Linked DNA regions of Stegostoma tigrinum. The protein of the gene in region 1 interacts with the protein of each later gene in a pairwise test. Links are inferred from orthologs where the notes say so. Each region holds a gene or a part of one and is shown in the gene's direction. Other genes may lie near its edges.

Region 1 (7,093 bases):
TTTTGTCGCTGGAGTGTGGGAGGTTGAGAGGAGGCCTTATAAAATAACAAGGGTATGGATACAGTTGATGGTAGCTGTCTTTTTCCTAGGATGGGGGAACTTCAAGACGAGGGGCACATTTTTAAGGTAAGAGGAGAGAGATTTGAGAAAGAAATGAGGTGCAATTTTTTTTACACAGACTACGGTTTGCACATGGAATGCAGTTCCTGAGGAAGTGGTGAATGTGGGTACAATTACAAAGTTTGAAAGACATTTGGATAAGTACATGAATAGGAAAGGTTTGGAGTGATGTAGGCCAGGAGCAGTCTTTTGGTTCTCGATCCTCCACCAATGGGAACAGCTCCTCCCTGTCAGGAAGGGAACCAATTCATGGAGGATGGAAGCTGACGAGGTGACAGAGAGAGAATCGGAATACCTCTGCCTGGAGATCTGAAGAAAATGTGGAAAAGTTTCAGTAGCAGTTGGGCTGAAGTAGGGATTGAGGTGAGCCATGTCAGGGGGGTGGTAGTGCCAGGTGTTTGTCAATGGAGGGAATGTTGCATTGTTAGACTTTGCTTTCAGAATGGCTTCAAGTTTTGTCTACATAACTGAAGGAACTACTGCTTGGGATGATTGAGTGAAGGGTTTTGAGAAGTTTTGATTACTAAGGCGTTGTGTAGGAATTTTTTTTCTATTCTTTTCTGGAATGTGGGCATCACCAGCTGGGTCAGCATTTCTTCCCCATCCCTAGTTGCCCCTTGAGAAGGTGGTGGTGATCTGCCTTCTTGAATCGCTGTAGTCCTTCTCTGTAGGTTGACCCAAAATGCCATTAGGGACAGAATTCCAGGATTTTGGCACAGCATCAGTGAAGGAACGGTGATATATTTCCAAATCAGGATGGTGAGTGGCTTGGAGGGAAACTTGGAGGTGGTGGTGTTCTCATGTATCTGATGCCCTTGTCCTTCTAGATGGAAGTGGTCGTGGGTTTGGAAGGTGCTATCTGAGGATCTTTGGTGAGTTTCTGCAGTGCATCTTGGATATAGTACACACTGCTGCTACTGAGTGTCGGTGGTGGAGGGAATGGGTGCTTGTGGATGTGGTGCCAATCCAGTGGGCTGCTTTGTCCTAGACTTCAGTTTATTGAAAGCAGTCATATATTACAGGCTGTTAGGACATCTACGACATAAAAGGTACAAAATAGGGCTAAGGGTTGTCCATTTTAACCCTCCATCCTGCTCTGCTGTTCAATAAAATCATGGTGGACATAGCTGAGGCCTTAACTTCACTTCCTATGTGCTCTCCATTACCTTGGCTCGTTGTAGATCAAAAAAATCTATCTAACATAGATGTACATTTAATAGTCTATGGCTCTCGGGAGTAGAGAATTCCAGAGATTAATGAACCTTGGAGAGAAAATTTCCTTTCTCATTATGGTCTTAAATGGGAGACCCCTTTCACAGAGTCAGAAGTGTTACGGTCTGGAAGGAAACCATTCAGCCCATTGTGCCTACGCAAGCTCATTAAATGAACATCATTACCTCATGCCAATTTCCTGCTTTTTCCCCTGTACTCTTGCATGTTAATATTGTACAAATAATTATTCAATGCCCCCTTGAATGCCTCAATTAGAAGATAGAACATTACAACACAGGAACCAGCCCTTTGTCCCATAAATTTGTGCCGAATGTGTCACCTAAAATAAATTAATCCCTTCTGCCTGCCCTTGGTCCATTTCCCTCCATTTCTTGCATATTCATGTGTTTATCTAAAAATCCCTTAAACATCCCTATCATATCTGCCTCTACCAATCCTGGCAGAGCATTCCAGGCTCCTACCACTCTCTGTGTAAAAAAAACTTGCCCCTCCCATCTCCTTTGAACTTGTCTCCTCTCACCCTGCCCCCCTGCATTAGACATTTCAACTTTGCGAGAAAGATTCTAACTGTGAACCTTATCTATCCATCTCGTAATTTTATAAACTTCTATCAGTTCTCCCGTCAGCCTCTGCTGCTGCAGAGAAAGTTACCTGAGTTCTTTCTAGCCTCTTGTTAGATCATAGCCTCTAATCCAAGTAGCGTCCTGGTAAACCTCTCCTGCACCCTGTCCAAAGCCCCCACGTCTTTCCTGTAATGTGGCAATCAGAATTGAACACAATACTCTAACCAAGGCTTAGCCAAATTTTTATAAAGCTGTAACAATTGAACCTGCCTCCACCACATTTCCAGGTGTCCTCCACCAACTACTCATTGACTGAAAATATGTTCCTTTGCCTCACCCTTGCTTCTTTTAGATTAGATTCCCTACGGCGTGGAAACAGGCCCTTCGGCCCAACAAGCCAACACTGCCCCATGCAACATCCCACCCAGACCCATCCCCCTATAACCCACACACCCCTGAACACTATGGGCAATTTAGCATGGCCGATCCACCTAGCCTGCACATCTTTTGGACTGTGGGAGGAAACCGGAGCACCCGGAGGAAACCCACGCAGACATGGGGAGAATGTGCAAACTCCACACAGACAGTCACCCGAGGCTGGAATCGAACCTGGGTCCCTGGCGCTGTGAGGCTGCAGTGCTAACCACTGAGCCACCCTGCTGCCCAGTTCACTTAGAAAAACATAGGAACAGGAGTCGGCCATTCAGCCCCTAGACCCTCCTCGGCCACTCACATAGATCATGGCTGATCTGTGGCCTAACTCCATTTACTTGCCTTTGGCATATATCCCTTAAATACCTTTGCTTCACAAAAAATTTACCTATCTCAGGCTTAAAATTAACAATTGATCCAGCCTCCAATATTTGTGGAAGGGAGTTCCAAATATTTGCGACACTTTCTTGTAGAAGTACTTCCCAGTATCTTTCCTAAAAGGTCTGACCCTAATTTTCAGACTAATTCCTTATTTCTAGAATCTTCAGCGAGTGGAAATAGCTTGTTTTTACCTACCCAGTCTTTTCAAGCTATAGAGTCATGGAAATGGATTCTTTAGTCTAATTCGCCCGCATTGACCAGACATATCAACTTGACCTAGTTCCATTTGACAGCATTTGGCCCGCGCCCCTCTAACCCCTTCCTATTCATGTACCCATCTAGATGCCTTTTAAATATTACAAATGTACCCACCTCCACCACGACCTTTTGGCAGCTCGCTCCACACATGCACCACCCTCTGTGTGAAAAAGGTACTTCTCAGGTCCCTTTTAAATCCTTCCCCTGTCACTTTTAACGTATGCCCTCTGGCATTGGACTCCCCCACACTCGGATAAAGACCTCGGCTCAGAGATAATGGGAACTGCGGATGCTGGAGAATCCAAGATAATAAAGTGTGAAGCTGGATGAACACAGCAGGCCAAGCAGCATCTCAGGAGCACAAAAGCTGACGTTTTGGGCCTTGACCCTTCATCAGAGCTCTCTGATGAAGAGTTTAGGCCCGAAACGTCAGCTTTTGTGCTCCTGAGATGCTGCTTGGCCTGCTGTGTTCATCCAGCTCTACACTTTATTATTTAAAGACCTTGGCTATTCCCTCATGATTTAATAAACCTCCACAAGCTTACCCCTCATCCTCCGACGTTCCAGGGAAGAATGCCCCAGCCTATTCAGCCTCTCCCTATAGCTGAAGCCCTCCAGTCCTAACAACATCATTTAAAGTTAAGCAGATAGGAACTGTGTTCAATATTTAAAGGGAGTATACTCCATTGTCCCAGATACACTCTTCACAGTAGATGCCAAGAAAAAGTAATGTGGATAATGGAAATCAGAAACAAAAACAGAAAGTGCTGGTAAAGCTCATCAGATCTGGCAGCATCTGTGGAGAGAAATCAGAAGTTACACTTCAAGCCCAATGATCTTCTTCAGAATTTACCTGGGGGCCAGGTAAGAGCTGGGAGGTGCCAAGCCAGCCACCAAAAGCAACTGGAGGGCTGAGGGGCGTGGTCATTGTCTGCCAATCAAGGCGGGGTTGCCGTGCAACCATAGAAGGGCGGCCAATGGGAATGCAGAGGGGGCGGTGTCGATACGGTGGGCGGGTGTTGCGTGGCTGCACCTGTCAATCAGCTGCTGGAAGTCTCAGGTAAATAGTGTGGGAGAGGCAGAGGAGGAGGTTATAGGTGAGCTCAGCAGCTCGGTGTGTATCTCCCTCACACATACACACACTTGACACACTCTCTGTAGTGTTACTGGAGCAAAGAAGTCAGAGCTCTCTCTTTATCAACTCTTCAGAGAAAGGGAGCGAGGGTTAGAGAGAGAGAGAGAATAAAACTGCGTCTGTGGGGGATAAGGATTTTTATCGTTTCCTCGTGAAACCAGGGACTGCCAAGATGTTTAAAAAGAAACCCAAGAATGTAACTCCCCCCAAAACCAAGTAAGTGTTGTCGTATATATTTATACTTGTGCCTTTTTTTAAAAGAAAAGCGCATTTTATTTATGGGTAACTATATGTTCTATGTTTTGCATGCCTTTTGAGGACCTCTCCCATATAATCCAAAAACAATCAATAAGTTTCTTCTTTTTTTCAAAAAACAATCTGTGATCTGCTTGTGGCTTTCTTAATTAAAAGCTGCTTTCAAGTTCAGGAGGGGAGGGTGTGTCAGCTGAGGTAACTCTAAGAAGTCTGATTAAAGCAGGAATGAACAACGTGAAAGGTTCTGATGCTGAGATTTAAACATCTGTCCACATTGTTTTAATCTCCAATATGAACTGTTAAAAGGACTTTGCAATGTATTTGTTTGACATGAATACTTTAGACTATCAATCTGCAGCCCAGTCAGTATACTGTAGATGAAATATTGCTCACACGGACTGATCACACATTGCTTATTTTGAACTTCTATTTTAGTTTATTACACAATTTTCTGACCTGTTTTCATCTGTATTGTGGAATCCCAGTGACTTATTGAGATGGGTGGAGTTTAATCCTCTGCGCAATGCAATTTAATAATCCTCAGTAAAAGTGTTAAAGGTTTTTGATAATAGAATGAAGCCTAGCAAATGCCAAAGCATTTAAACCTCTGACCGTCAGGCTAATTCAGTAATCAGGTCCAGCAACTCCTAATATCTCTGTGACTTCTGACGTTTTGCATAACAAAACCAGCTTCTATACATGGTCTGATGGATGAACTTCAAGCATAATCACAAAATTTAAAAATATTTCCTCCAGGGTAAAGCTGATGTGTTGAATTACCTTCCTAACATGCAGCAATTTTAAAATCCCTACAGTACGGAAGCAGATGAGCCCAAGCCGACTCTTCAAATAGCATTCCGCCCAAACCCACCCCTCTGCCTTATCCCTGTGACTCTGCATTTCCCAAGGCTAGTCCATCTAGCCTGCGTATCCCTGGACACGATGGGCAATTTAGCATGGCCAGTCCATCCTAACCTGCACATCTTTTGACAGTGGGAGCTTTTATCACTCCCAGCAGGAAAATTAGTCTACTTGTCACCAGAAACTTCTTCTGAATGATAACGCACATTTTGACAGAATAATGGTGTCACTGTCCCACTTATGGATTAAATTATCTCAAGTGTGGAAGAGTTTATCTCCTAGGCATGGGGTTAAAGCAACTCATTTGTTCTCTGGATGCACAGATGACATGGGAAACATTATAAATATTTCCAACCATTACAATCAGCCGTTTGGTTCTATAGTATTTGAGTATGGCTGGTAAATAAGACACGTTTGTCAAAGTTTTTTTGTCTCGCACTCATCAGCAGAATAGACAAGAAATGTAAGATAAAGTTGCCATAGTCCTACCTTCCATTAGGGAGAGGGATTAGGTGGTGATTTAACCTGAGGGTCACCACACCTCAGGTGAGGGGAGGAGTTGAGAAGGCCACTCAGCTGGTGCTAGGAATTGAACCCACAATGTTGGCATCACTCTGAATCATGAGCAGCCAACTGAGATAACCAACTCTGACACAATACACGCCTGATGAGCAGCTTTGACGAAATGTGCCTTTTTGTCCAACAATATTATTATCACTGTCTGCCGTGCAAAGTTCTGTATTGGGACACGTTGAATAGCAAATTCTGTAATATCGAGCAAAATGTTTTTGTTTGCAAATTGTATGAAGTGGTTAATTTTTGGGGGAAAACAGCACTGGATAAATTCCAAGGTTGATTTTAAGAGGGAATAACACTAAAAGCTGAATATGTTGACAAATGGTATTAATGTTTAAATTTAATTGCCTTGGGATGCTACTCAGAGCTGTATTGTGAGCTGCTGATGTTGATGTTTTTCAAAGGAGTGCAAAAGAAAGCCAGCCAGCATTGAAACACAATAAGTAGTTTGTGGCTTGTGCAGAGTCCTTGAGAATACTTAAGCTGTGATGGATTGTTAGATGGATTCTTGATCAGTAGGGGAATCAAGGATTGTGGGGAAGGGCAGGAAAATGGGCGTGATGTATGTCAAATCAGCCATGATCCTATTGAATGGCAAAGCAGGTTCAAGGGGCTGAATGGTCTACCTCTGTTGCTATTTCTTTATGGTTTGTTGATTGAAAGTGAGATGGTGGATACTATCTTTTTGGATTTTGAAAAGATAGTTGATGCTGTCTGCTTTTAAAAGACGGATTTTAGTTATAGGTAATTCCTTTAATCATTCACGGGATGAGGGTGTCACTGGCCAGGCAGCATTTATTGCCCGTCCCTAATTGCCCAGAGGGCAGTTAAGAGTCAACCACATTGCTGTGGGTCTGGAGTCACATGTAGGCCAGACCAGGTAAGGATGGCAGATTTCCTTCCCTAAAGGACATCATTGAACCAGATGGGTTTTTCCCAACAATCGGCAGTGGATTCGCGATCATCATTAGAGTCTTAATTCTGGATATTTATCGAATTCAAATTCCACTATCTGCTGTGGCAGGTTCGAACCAGGTCCCCAGAACATTATCTGGGTCTCTGGATTAACGGTCCAGCAACAATACCACTAGGCCATCACCTCCCCCAATTGTATGCTCAATGTTTTACATACCTTTTGAGGACCTCTCCCATCATAATCCAAAACTATCAATAATATTATTTTGTTAGCTTTTCAAAAAAAAAATCTGTGATCTGCTTGCAGCTTTCTTCATTAAAAATTGCTTTCAATCTCAGCAGGGGAGGGCGCGTCAACTGGCCG
Region 2 (7,380 bases), on another chromosome or scaffold:
GAATGGTGATAGAAAACTAAACATCTAACAGGAGGAAGAAGCTCCACAATGGCCCCATTCTCAATAATTGGGGACCCGGCACAATAATGTAAAAGATGTAGCTGAAGTATTTTCATCCACCATGAGCCAAATGTGCTGAGTGAATGATTCATCTCAGCCACCTATTATGATCTCCAGCATTACAAATGCCAGTTTTCAGCTAATTTAAGTTATTTCACATGATATCAAGAAATGGCTAAAGGCATTGGATACTGAAAAGATTATGGGCCATGTCCACATTCCAGCAACAGTACATAAGACTTACAACAGTAACATCTACTCTACTCAGTGATCTACTCTAAATCATCAAACTGGTGGAAAGAGTCATTGGTAGTGTTGTCAAGTGGTATTTGATCAGCAAAATTCATACATTCAGGGCCACTCAGATCTTGACCTTATTTGGGCCAAGACTATAACTTGAACAACCCAACTGAATGCCAGAGATGAGGTGACAATGAATGGCTTTGAACCATGGTAACATTTGACAAGAATATAGCATCAAGGAGCCCTAGCAAAGCTGAACTGAATGGGAATCAGGGGAAAGCCTCTCCAATAGTTGAGTCATACCTGGCACAAAGGAAGATAAAGTCAGAAGTCACATGACACCAGGTAATAGTCCAACAGGTTTCAGGATTATCACCTGTCATGTGACTTCTGACTTTGTCCACCCAGTCCAACACGAGCACCTCCACATCATGGTGACCAAGAGTGTTACACAATGTGAGCAAAGTGTCAACAACTGAATAACAATTGAAGCTATGACCTATAATCTGATTACTCATTTAGCCTGTCTCCAGCATCACCTTTTTTTTTGTTTCTTGTAATTATTTCTCTGCCTCACTTAATCAGATTATAGGTCCTTCACTTGTTATTCGGCTGTTGATACTTTACTCACAGCTGCAGCGACCTAATATTCCTTACTCCACTCACACCAGTTGCATGGACTTTTGATCTCTCTACCTGTAAATTCTGTGTCTGTGTGTTCTTCTTGCTCACTTGACCTGATGAAAGTGCTGTGCTCTGGAAGCTTGTGATCTCAAATGAACCTGTTGGACTATAACCTGGTGCTGTGTGACATCTGACTTTGTCCAGCCTAGTCCAACACCAGCACCTACCAACAAAGGAAGATGGTTGTAGTCTCTGGAGTTCAATCTTCGTCCCAGAGCAGGCTCCTCATGGGAGCATCCTAGGCCCAATTTTCTTTATATGTTTCATCAACGACTTTCTCTCCAACATATGGTCAAAGTGAGGATATTTATCGATGATAGCAAAATATTCTGCACCATTCACAACTCCTCACACATGCAGTGCAAGTCCGTATGCAGCTAGACCTGGGCAACATCCATGCTTGGAGTGCTAAGCAGCAAGTAACATTTACTCCTACCTCTCTGATGAAGGGTCTAGGCCCGAAATGTCAGCTTTTGTGCTCCTGAGATGCTGCTTGGCCTGCTGCGTTCATCCAGCTTCACACTTTGTTATCAGTAACATTTACTGCACACCATTGTCATTGCTTGACAATCTCTTTTAAAAAAGAATGTAACCATGATCCCTTGACATTCAATGGCATTACCATTGAAACATCCCCACTATCAACTGGTTGTTAGCATTGCTCAGAAGCAGGGACATAAATACTGTGGTTTCAAGAGCAGGACGAGACCGAGGAATTCTATAGTGAATAACTGATCTCGTCTCCCCAAAGTGGTCAAGATGCTCAACATCTCCAGGACAAAACAGGCCACTTGATTGTCATCTCATTCGTCATTCTTCAACACTGAAGCATAGTGACAGCGGCACAGCATGTACCATCGACAAGACGTACAGCAGCAACTCACTCAAACTCCTTCATCAATGCCTTTCTAAACTTTGGCTCTATTGCACTGAAGGACAATGGCAGATGATGTGTGGGAACAGGCCACCTGCAAGTTACTCGCCAAGCCACTCATCATTCTAGGAGATAATGGGAACTGCAGATGCTGGAGAATTCCAAGATAATAAAAGGTGAGGCTGGATGAACACAGCAGGTCGAGCAGCATCTCAGGAGCACAAAAGCTGACGTTTCAGGCCTAGACCCTTCATCAGAGAGGGGGATGGGGTGAGGGTTCTGGAATAAATAGGGAGAGAGGGGGAGGCGGACCGAAGATGGAGAGTAAAGAAGATAGGTGGAGAGAGTATAGGTGGGGAGGTAGGGAGGGGATAGGTCAGTCCAGGGAAGATGGACAGGTCAAGGAGGTGGGATGAGGTTAGTAGGTAGATGGGGGTGCGGCTTGGGGTGGGAGGAAGGGATGGGTGAGGGGAAGAACAGGTTAGGGAGGCAGAGACAGGTTGGACTGGTTTTGGGATGCAGTGGGTGGAGGGGAAGAGCTGGGCTGGTTGTGTGGTGCAGTGGGGGGAGGGGACGAACTGGGCTGGTTTAGGGATGCAGTGGGGGAAGGGGAGATTTTGAAACTGGTGAAGTCCACATTGATACCATTAGGCCGCAGGGTTCCCAGGCGGAATATGAGTTGCTGTTCCTGCAGCCTTCGGGTGGCATCATTGTGGCACTGCAGGAGGCCCATGATGGACATGTCATCTAAAGAATGGGAGGGGGAGTGGAAATGGTTTGCGACTGGGAGGTGCAGTTGTTTGTTGCGAACTGAGGGGAGGTGTTCTGCAAAGCAGTTTCCAAGCCTCCGCTTGGTTTCCCCAATGTCGAGGAAGCCACACTGGGTACAGTGGATGCAGTATACCACATTGGCAGATGTGCAGGTGAACCTCTGCTTAATGTGGAATGTCATCTTGGGGCCTGGGATAGGGGTGAGGGAGGAGGTGTGGGGGCAAGTGTAGCATTTCCTGTGGTTGCAGGGGAAGGTGCCGGGTGTGGTGGGGTTGGAGGGCAGTGTGGAGCGAACAAGGGAGTCACGGAGAGAGGGGTCTCTCCGGAAAGCAGACGGGGGGGAGATGGAAAAATGTCTTGGGTGGTGGGGTCGGATTGTTGCTATTCCTTCAATATCATTGGACCAAAATCTCAAGTGATAACGGGAACTGCAGAATCCAAGATAATAAAGTGTGAAGCTGGATGAACACAGCAGGCCAAGCAGCATCTCAGGAGCACATCCTCTGATGAAGGGTCTAGGCCCAAAATGTCAGCTTTTGTGCTCCTGAGATGCTGCTTGGCCTGCTGTGTTCATCCAGCTTCACATTTTATTATCTTGGACCAAAATCTCAAAACTGCCTTCTTGACAACAACAGGTTAAGACAGCATCTCATCACCACCTGCTGAAGAACAATTAGAGATTGGCAATAAATGCTGGTCTAGCCAGCGAAGCCAACAGCATTTTACTGAGCACTTAGCAATCACACAATAAAAAGTGTCCCTTTAAATTGCAGTGGCCTGCATGTAAGACATCTCGAACCAAACATAATTAGTTTGCAAGCAAACTGAACCAGTCAAAACTAAACTGTGACCATACATTCTTTGCCCAGCCAGTCACTACTTAACTGCTCAGACATTGCATCCCTCTCCACCCATGATATCAGGTGCTATTGCCTAAAATTAACTTTTTCAGATATTGATTTCACTTGCATCATTTAGCCCACCAAATCACGTAGTTAACAAAGAAGGCAGCTGAATCACAACACCAATATTCTGTAGAGATTAGAAATTTGAGCTCTTGTAGCACTGCAGCGGTGTTCCTACTCCCAAATGTTATGTGTCGTAACACCTCTGAACAGGTTGATTTGAAAATACCTAGCAATTAGATGCTTTGGTCTCAGTTGCACTGAACAGGCATTACGTTCACACAGAATTCTCACATGCGGAAGCAAGCCATTCAACGTAGCGAGTTCACACCGGCCCGCCCTATATTCAATAACAATTAATTAGAGTTCAGTCACCCTTGCTCCAAACCCACCATTCAACTATCCATCCCAAACTTTTAAACCCCGGAATTATGTCTTTTTTTTCCCTCCTCTTCGATTCCCTTGTCTCGCATTTCTGCTTTTTCTATGCCCTTTCCTTCGTTATTCTTGCTCTCTCCTCTCCCCATTGATGTTGCCGGATATATTCTGCCTGACCTACAAAATGTTCCTAGCACTTGTTTTGGTTTTAACTCAGCACTCATAACATTTTGCTCATTTCCCTGCTCAGCGAGCAACAACACGAACAGACGCACACGCAAGCTGACAGGGGAACGGAGGAGACCGCCGGTACCGCGCAGCCGCACGCATGCTAGGTAGGCTGGGGAGGAGGGAAGATGCCGGTAGCGCGCAGACGCATACGGAGGGGAATGAGGGTTGGTTATGGGGCTGTGTGCTGGAAGAGAGAAGCCGGTACCGCGCAGTCGTACAGGAAAGGTGTGGGTGAGGGAAAGTCTCTCGGACCGCGCAGTCGTACAGGAAAGGTGTGGGTGAGGGAAAGTCTCTCGGACCGCGCAGCCGTGGAGAAAGGTGGGGATAGGATGAAGAAGAAACAGTTGCTATTGCGCAGCTGCAGCAGGCAGACGGAGGGGATGGTGAAATGAGCGAGAAGAAACAGTCGCTGTTGCGCAGCCGTGGTGGCTTGGTGCAAGTGTTCAAGCAGAGAGGTAAACGGTGAAAACAGGTGGAGGAAAGTTGAGCTGGGTTGGGTCGAAAGATACGGCGTCTGAGGTGAACGGAGGAGGAGGGAAGGTGGAAAATAAAAACCCATCGAGTCACCGACAGTGGACTTTTTCTTGTCGGTTTGAGGTGAAAGCTTATTGTTTGGCAGGCGTCAGGTGAGAAAATAGTTGTGACGTTAAATGAAACCTTATGTTTCTACCTGAGGAGTCCTGGGCAGTATCTGCCGGGACCCTGTAAATACAACTCTCTCTCCTTCCTCCTGCATCCAGGACGCTCCGCAAGACCAACGGTTTTAACGGCTCGACATTTCATTATTTTCCACTTGAGTTCATGAAAGGGGAAGTGGCGGGTTCTGATTTTTTTTTGTGTGAATGGACCGAGTTGCCGGCCGCCGGCAGTTGGACCTTGTTGATTCACCCCTTTAAGGAGAAGGAAGGCTTTACCTCCGAGCCCTCCCGGCCTAGTTACAGCGGTGAAACCCGCACTGCTGCATGTCTCTGCGGATGGAGACTCGTCTATAATCGTGCATCAGGTTGAACGATCGTTTTGTTTTTAAATGTATAAAATCCAGACACTTCTTCTCCGGGGCTGTTCTCTGCACCCACAATTTGATGATATTAGACACTGATGAGATAAGATAATGCAGTTAATCCTGCAACGGGTTTGCAGTTAAACGCGAAAGAGAATTCTGGGGTTTTCCGAATCTTATCATACATTGAGTTACTTGAGTGATTTAAACATCGTTTTCTTTATTGTATATATTTTATAATTAAAGCGAATTCCGCTTACTTCTCTGTAAAAACATTAACCAACTGCGGTAATTTTATAGGCAGTCACCATTCTCATGTTAGCGCGAAATGAGTATAGCATGAACAGTATGTAGTTATTTTGTGCAGCTGACAAGACACGTTGGACTTTAGGTTTCTGGTTCATCTACAACATGTTCGTTGCCGAATTGTTCGGATGATCAGATCGAAAATTGCAGTCCTGCGTTCGCTCCCATACAGTGCAGTTGTAGTTCATTACGTGTCCTTGTATGCCCCGAGGAATCCCTGGTGGCGAGTTTTATAACATTATTTTGCTGACAAGCCATCAGGCTTCCTGAAGCTACTCAGTATTGTATGCTATCGTCATCATCCTTTATCACAATAATCCTGTTTATTGCCATTTTTTAACTCGTGATGGATGTGTTAGAATAAGTATGTAATCGGATTTTCATCTGACGATAATGAAAAGAAAGCTTAAGTGATGTATGTGAACACTGAATATTGTAAAGCCTTTTGTCTTTGTATGCAATAGGTATGTCTATACATAAAATTGTGGAAATAATATATGCTACTATGTATCAGATTAGTGTAGAAATTATCTAGCAGGTTTGGAAAATGGTATTTTGGCTTATTCCAGTGGTGCCAATAGCAGTGATGAGATTATCGCAATTTCAAAGTCAGCTGTTTTACATTTAAAACTGAGTAGAGGAGTCATTTAATCTGCGGGTCGTTTTGCTGTCTTGGGGGGGGGGGGAAAGATTCTTAAAACAGGGTTTTCATCTTTTCAATGCTGAGTTAGATGAACGTTTGACTTGTTAGGAGACTGTAAAATTCTGGGGGCAGGCAGAAAATTGGAGTTGAAGCCCTGATTCGATCAACTGTGATCTTGCGTTCCATTCAATTCAAACCATAGCATTAAAATTGTGCTGCCTGGTTCTAGAAAACATTTTCAGGATCTGCCCCATAAAGCGCAAAAATGTTTTAGTTGGGTATACTCTTACTCTTAATACCAATTGGTATATCTCGCTAAATATTTTCTCTCCGCAACTCCATTGTGCCATGAAGCAGCATAGTAAATTTTTCTGAGCTGACTTCAATGCAAGTACAAAACTAAGACCAAAACTGTACAGGATAATCCAAGAGTCTTGCTAATGTACAGTTATAGTAAGATTTCCTTATGTTTACACTGCAGTCTCCGTTCTTAGTAATAAAGGTAAATGTTCCATTGCCTTCCTACTGGGAAATGTACAAAGCTACTACCTTTCAAGCTGTAAGATATATATTACTGACATGGAAATTTAAATATTGTTCTTCTTTGTAGTTGTTCAAAAATATTTTTATAATGTCATTGTTCAAAATTGTCTTCATCCTATGTTGGAACAGCTGGTGTGAGACATGTTTAAAATATTACCAAGTCTGTCACTGTTTTACAAACATGTCTGAAAAGGGGCAGCTATAACTTTGAGGAAAAATACAACTTCTCCCTTTTGGATGATTTTAATCGATTGTCTTTTGAATTATATTGGCAGTGTATCTTATTCTACTAACTACTTTTTGGTTAGTAACTTGATTACTACAACAGAGAGAGAGAGAGAGAGAGACCAAGCCATGGACTCAACCCTTTGGTATCAGTGTATTATCAGCGGGCTTGTTTTACCGTTAGACTTAACTATGACAGTGTTCTCCTGATTAATCTCCCATCTTTAACTTTTTATGTCTAAAACATAAGCTTGCCTGAAATTTTGCACCTGGTCTTGTATTTCAATTTCAACATTCTTGTCTGTTTTCAGAGTTTTCTATTTGTCTCTCCTCTTCCTTTGTTCCTTTCCTTTACTGTCATGTCTCTGAATTACTCTAGTTTTGTCTTTTTGACATCTTTGATTGCTGTACTATTGACTTCCTTAGTCCAATGCTCTGGTATATAGTCCCTGTGCACTCCGTTCTTCTGTCCCTTCATCTTTAAAGCATTCCTTTTAAAACTGATATCCTTGACCAA

What was found. The genes of interacting proteins can lie anywhere in the genome.
Region 2: the proteins of ppl (region 1) and rab3ip interact in binary tests that used the Homo sapiens proteins (3 or more experiments, as listed by UniProt). The two-hybrid records come from large-scale screens. The link is inferred for Stegostoma tigrinum from reciprocal best matches to the Homo sapiens genes PPL and RAB3IP.

The regions. Positions count from the first base shown.
Region 1 is NC_081376.1:46,890,679-46,897,771, forward strand, and holds the start of ppl (periplakin), read left to right. Parts: upstream 1-4,068; 5' UTR 4,069-4,294; coding exon 4,295-4,338; intron 4,339-7,093. UniProt on the Homo sapiens protein: Component of the cornified envelope of keratinocytes. May link the cornified envelope to desmosomes and intermediate filaments. May act as a localization signal in PKB/AKT-mediated signaling.
Region 2 is NC_081371.1:45,501,368-45,508,747, reverse strand, and holds the start of rab3ip (rab-3A-interacting protein), read left to right. Parts: upstream 1-4,370; 5' UTR 4,371-4,601; exon of another isoform or gene 4,602-4,772; intron 4,773-5,031; exon of another isoform or gene 5,032-5,149; intron 5,150-7,380. UniProt on the Homo sapiens protein: Guanine nucleotide exchange factor (GEF) which may activate RAB8A and RAB8B. Promotes the exchange of GDP to GTP, converting inactive GDP-bound Rab proteins into their active GTP-bound form.